2 linked regions of the Ovis aries genome follow. The protein of the gene in region 1 interacts with the protein of each later gene in a pairwise test. Links are inferred from orthologs where the notes say so. Each region holds a gene or a part of one and is shown in the gene's direction. Other genes may lie near its edges.

Region 1 (3,556 bases):
TTGTTTTTTAATGAAGTATCTAAAATAAATAGTGCATAAATGTAAAAAATATTTCCTAAGTCAGTGAAGGGATTATAGAAACTGTGTCTGTGATATGTGTACAGATATATCTTAATGTAGCTAGTTCTTAATGAAAGAACCTCTGCCACTGGCTAGGAGTGAAGAGGATGCCTGGTCTGGTTTTTCCCAAAGAAGATAAATTTCTTGCTTTTATTACATAACCTGCTCTTGGTATTAGTGATTTGCACTTCTAAAATCCATGCTAGAAATACAGAGAACAAGTTTGTGAATGCAAACTTTATTTTCCTCATAGAAGGACTCCCCTTGATCCGAGTTTAATTAGACACAGTTATTTAACTTGAATTATTTTTGCTTATTAATATAGAAATGCATTTTGATTACCTAGTGACAGTAGACCTGAATCCAGAGCAATGAATGAATGGGCTCCAAATCCCAGTTTTGAGTCTTTTCCTTTTTATGGTTCGCTTATATTCTAATGATTTAACCCCTTACTGCCTTTTTTTCTAATTAACTACTGAAGTCTTCCATCAATTTGCTGGCATTTCTTGGAAATATAAGTAACATAATTAAGACAGTGTAAACTGGAATGCATTTAGAATTAGATTGTCCTCTCTCCAGGATTTGCAAAGATGATGTATGAAATCACATTTGCCACTTACAAAGCAGAACTTATATTTGAGTGTTTAACAGGTTTATTGAGCCATAGTTTACATACCATAAAATTCATTTACTGAAAGTACACAATTCAGTGATTTGTGGTAAATTTTTAGAGCTGTGCCGCCTTCAGCATAGTCCAGTTTCAGAACATTTCCGTAACCTCCCCAAATTCCCTTGGACATTTTTGTATTTAATTGCAAGCCCCAGCCACAAGGAACGACTGATCAGCACCTGTTTATTTTAGCTTAGCACAGTCTAGAAGTGCTTCCGTGTTGTAGCATATATTAGTATTACGTCCCTTTTTTGTTGCTGAATAGTATTTCATTGTATGGATATACCATGTTATGTTTATCTGTTCGCCTATTGGCAGGCATTTGAATTGTTTTCTGTCTTTGACTCCTAAAATGCTGCTATAGTTGTGTGCAAGTTTTTTTGTGTGTGTGTGTCTCAATATATTGGATAGATTCTAGAATCAAATTGATTATCTCCTTTAAGCATAGGAATTCTATTCCCTTTTTGCCTATTTGTCTTCTGTAAAGTAAGGTATTGGATTTCCTCCTACCCCAAAACTTCTTCATTTCTTTCCTTTTTTCTCCATTCTTGCCCAGGGAGCACAATACTTGGGAACCTGAGAAAAACTTGGATTGCCCTGAGCTAATTTCTGAGTTTATGAAAAAGTATAAGAAGATGAAGGAGGGTGAAAATAACAAACCCAGGGAGAAATCAGAAAGTAACAAGAGGAAATCCAATTTCTCAAACAGTGCTGATGATATTAAGTCCAAAAAAAAGAGAGAGGTAAGCTTCATTTCTCCTCTCCTTCCCCCCCACCCCCCACTCTTCTGCTTCCTGTGCTTCCTCCTCGCTTCACCCAAAAAAGAGGGGCACTGTTTTGGTTGTTTTTATTCTAGGGATGGCCTATACGGTAAATTGTTGAACACAGGAGCTCCCCGGGGAGTTTTGTTGATCCACTACAGCGCCCCCTCCTGGCTGAGTAAGAAATGTACTATGTGTCCACTGAATTGTGTCAAGGTGGCAAAATTAAATCCCTGTAAAACATTCAGCCACTCAGTGCCTTTTTTGTGAATAGGTGGCTGAGTTGTCTTATGGAGAGTCTTCAGTGAATTTTTTAGGGATAGAAAGAAGCTTTAAAATATCTACTACTTCACTTTTTTCTTTTATTCCAAAGAGAGCACTTAACTTTAACCCTTTATATTCTTTCTTTTTTAACCAGGTGAAAACACATAACATACAACTAACCATTTTATTTTTTTTTTTAATTATTTATTTATGGCCACACCAACACATGTAGGATCTTAATTCCCTGACCAGACTCAAACCCATGCCCCTGCATGGGAAGTGCGTAGTCTTCACCACTGGACTGTCAGGGAAGTCCCCAGTTAACCATCTTAAAGTGAACAGCTCAGTGGCATGTGTAGTCTCTCTTGATCCTATTGTATTTTTGCATTCTTCAAATAAATTACTTTTCATCTTCCTTATGAATATTTTTATTGTTCAGTTTTTGAAAATGTGTTTATGAAACTTTGGTTTGATTCAGTTATTTTAATCCTTCTGATATATAGCTGTTAAGTAACTAGCCATAAGCACTGTTCCTGTCTTTTTTTTTTCTTGTCTATATCTTTTCCATGTGTGCACATGTGTCTCCATCACCCCCCACAGCTTCCATTCCTTTCATTAATTTCAAGGTTGTGAAGTCTTTTGTGGTGAAGGATATATCATACCCTTAAAGTTTAATAAAATAAAAGTGTAAGTCTGCTTCTGAATCTTCTAGCATCCCTGCCATAAGCATCCATATTTATCTTCATTCTCCTTGGATACCCGTCTTGCTAGAGCATTAGTTCTCAGCCCTGGCTGCATATTAGACTCATGGCAAGGGGGGCAGGCGGGTGTTTCAAAAGCCTCCAGTATTGCTGTGGAAAAAGAAGCCTCCGGTGCCCAAGATGCACTCCAGACCAATAAAATTCAAATTTCTGTGGGTTGGACCTATGCGTTAGTATTTTCTAGAGACTTACACAGGTGATTCCTGGTCTCCAGAGGAGAGAAAATGGGAGAACAACTTTCCAAAAAGAATTGAAATAAGAATGAAAGATTGGAGGCTGTCAGTGAAAGTGGACGCTAGTATTTTGTTTGTTTCCCTGATTAATTTTATTTTTTGCAATCTTATTTTTTAAAACTCCCCTGTTCTGGTGAGGTGTGTATATCATTATGATATAGCATACTAGTAGATAATTTGAAAATGCCTTCCCTTCTCTAAGGAGCTAAGACTTGGGTCTGTCTTTCTGTTTTACTTTTTTATTAGTCCTTTGTATTCTGGTTCTTGTCATTTGATGCATTTTCCAGCTAAGTAAAGAGACCAAGAAACAACACAGCATGACTTCTGTAGCCGTTTTTGACATTCAGTGTGTATTTCCTCAACCTAACGTTTATGTCCTTTTAAAAAGGAGCAGTCTGGGGGTGGGGGGGGGGGAGGAGCAATCTGACTTTGAGACACTGGCCAGTGCAGAGTTTGGTTCCTAGGCCAGGATGCTGGCCTTTTGATGCTGCTGACCTTGAAAACCACCCCCACACACACATGTCCCTTACATTGTAATGTTCATCTGGGGCCCCTGGCAGCATTCTCAGCAGTGCTGATGGCTGTCATGTAGGCAGCTGGTAAGATAGGTGATTGTATATTTTAAAGGTGCAGGGGGGGATTTCGTTTCTTTCTTTAGACCACTGCAGAGGAAATTTGTTAGTCGGCATTATGCCTGATTTAAGATTACTGCCTGTGTGATGATTTTAGCATTTTCCTCGCCTCGGCTCCTTTTCAGCTGCTTGAACATTTTTCTTCTCTTCCCTCCCTATGTGGCAAACTGTTTTC
Region 2 (2,651 bases), on another chromosome or scaffold:
GGCCCTGTGCCTGTGTGTAGACATAGAGAACTCTGCCTGTGCGAGTGTAGACACACGGCAGACCTTGGCCCAGGCCCTGCCTCCACCTCCTGGGAAACACCAGGCGTCCGTCTGCGTGGGGGGTCCACCGCCAGGGGGCTCACTGCATCGGGGCTGTCTCCTGTGCTTGAGGAGTGGCACAAAGGTGTCCTTTGACCTGTGGGCAGAGCCAGAGACAGGAGCCTGGGAAGGGAGCAGAGGGTGGCAGCTGGTGTGCTTTTAGAATCGGATGTGTGCTGGGCAGCGCCGGGGGCTTCGAGGGGACGGACGATGGTTTGGTGGTCATAATAATTGGCAGCTACACGCCTTCCACCCGTTTCTGTTTAAACCTGTGGCCGGTGTACCAGCAGCTCCACCTCCAGAGGGGCACACAGGTTCAGAGAGGTTCCGTGACTTGTTCAGGGTCATCCAAGCTAGTACACGGAGGTGGCTTGTGAGCAGCCCCGCCCAGCTTCACATCAGGCCTGGGCCTGGGTGTGGGCCTGCGGTCAGGACGAGTGGCAGTGACTCAAAAGACCTCATTTCACTGTCCTGTCAACTCTGGTTGAAAGGGGCTGGGTTCCCATCGTACGGCAGATAAGAGCCAGGTGCAGAGTTGTGGAGGAGGGGGGCCCAGCTTGGTGGCCTCAAAGCCCAGCACCCCCGACACGGCTGTGCACGCCAGCCCCCAGCACAGCTGCTGGCCCTCAGCTGGTGTGCCCACCCCGCCAGTGGGCTGGGGCGCCTGGCTTCCCTGGCAGGGACGGAACAGGGGCTCGGTTTCCTGCTCTGACTGGCTCTGGCTCGGTCCTCAGGGAGCTGCAGGAGCGAGAGAAAGCCTTGAGATTACAGAAGGAGCGGCTGCAACGGGAGCTGGAGGAAAAGAGGAGGAAGGTAACGGGGGGCCGGGCGTGTGGCTCTCAAGGGCTCTGCACTGAGCTCTGGGCTGGGGCGGCCTGGCCCCAGCGGTTCGGGCGGGAGCTGCTGTGCCCGCCGGGCTGCGCTGGGGTTGGCGCAGAGTGGGGGAGCGCACTCCCCTGGTCTGTGACATCCTGCCTCCCGCTGTCTCCGGGCCCCAGGAAGAGCAGCAGCGCCTGGCTGAGCAGCGGCTGCAGGAAGAGCAGAAGAAGGCCAAGGAGGCCGCGGGTGCCAGCAATAGTCTGAACGTGACCGTGGACGTGCAGGTGAGGCCCGGGCATCAGGGTGGAGAGGCCCCCTGGCTCTGATGATTCCCTTCCCAGGAGCTGGAGGCACAGGCTGAGTATATTAGGACTGTGAGAAAGGGGGGCTTCCCTGGTGGCTCAGCTGGTAAAGAATCCACCTGTAATGTGGGAGACCTGGGTTTGATCCCTGGGTTGGGAAGATCCCCTGGAGAAGGGAAAGGCTACCCACTCCAGTATTCTTGCCTGGAGAATTCCATGGACCATACAGTCCATGAGGTCACAAAGAATCCAACACGACTGAGCAACATTCACTTCCCTTCATGAGAAAGAGGAAGGATACAGTCAGCCCAAGTGTTTCCCCCCAACAACTATTTTTGATATATGTATTGTTCTTTATTCTGAAAGTAGAAAGTAGTTTAAAAACAAAAGAAACTGAGCTTTATAAAAGAATACAGAGCAAAAGAAAGGTGCCCTCAAAGGGTAAGTCTAAGTCTGGTGTATTTCCTTCTATATTGAAACATTCATAAATATTCTGTACACACTTTTTCTCACACACACACATATATATAGTTTTTTAAATGGGCCCAGACTGTACATTCCGTCTCAGTCTGTTCGTGCTGCTACAACAAATGACCCTAGACTGTGTGGCTGAAACAGCAGACATGCTGGGAAGGCCAGGGTCAAGGCGCTGGCAGGTGAGGGCCCTCCTCTGGCTCACAGATGGCCGTTTTCTCGCTGTGTCCTCACATGGCTGGAGGGGAGAGGGAGCTCTCTGGGGTCTTTTCTAAGGGAACTGATCCCACTGAGGAGGGCTGTACCTCCCAAAGGTCCCACCTCCAGATACCATCACACTGGGGATTAGGATTTAACATAGGAATGTGGGGGAAGAATACAAACGTTCAGTCCAGAACACATACCGTTTAGCAGCTTGATTTTTTTTCCCCCTCCTTTTTTTTTTTTGCTTCTTTAATGTGTTGTACACAACTGTTTCACCAGTTATTAATTGCTTCTGGTGGCTGTGTGCCACTTGGTACCAGAATTTCTTTAATCAGCCCTCCCCGACTAGCATTTAGGCTATTAATGCTGTTACAGATGGATGTAGTGTGAGGAAGGGTTTTCGTTGCAATCTACTTTAGGATGTTGAAAACTTGGAAGGTCGCTGAACCAGGTGGTTAAATTACAAATCATGGAGTTCCCGGTGCAGTGCCCTGCAGCCATTCAAAGGACATACACACATACACACTGACCTGGAAGAACATTTGAAACATGCTTTTACATGAAAAAGGAAGACATAAGAGTCATGTACGTGGCATGATTTTTTTTTTTTTCAATCAAAAAGCAACCCCTGAACGTTTTTCTTTCTTTTCCCTGTGAAATGAGGGGAGGTGGCCAGAGCCCGGCGCTTCTCAGCGTCAGGAGAGGCCAGCATGCAGGGCGGGCAGCCAGTAGCCATGTTCACCTTTTCCAGTC

What was found. The genes of interacting proteins can lie anywhere in the genome.
Region 2: the proteins of CBX5 (region 1) and INCENP interact in binary tests that used the Homo sapiens proteins (3 or more experiments, as listed by UniProt). The link is inferred for Ovis aries from reciprocal best matches to the Homo sapiens genes CBX5 and INCENP.

Annotation. Positions count from the first base shown.
Region 1 is NC_056056.1:132,289,473-132,293,028, forward strand, and holds part of CBX5 (chromobox protein homolog 5), read left to right. Parts: intron 1-1,286; coding exon 1,287-1,473; intron 1,474-3,556. UniProt on the Homo sapiens protein: Component of heterochromatin that recognizes and binds histone H3 tails methylated at 'Lys-9' (H3K9me), leading to epigenetic repression. In contrast, it is excluded from chromatin when 'Tyr-41' of histone H3 is phosphorylated (H3Y41ph).
Region 2 is NC_056074.1:37,182,159-37,184,809, forward strand, and holds part of INCENP (inner centromere protein), read left to right. Parts: intron 1-833; coding exon 834-912; intron 913-1,097; coding exon 1,098-1,202; intron 1,203-2,649; coding exon 2,650-2,651. UniProt on the Homo sapiens protein: Component of the chromosomal passenger complex (CPC), a complex that acts as a key regulator of mitosis.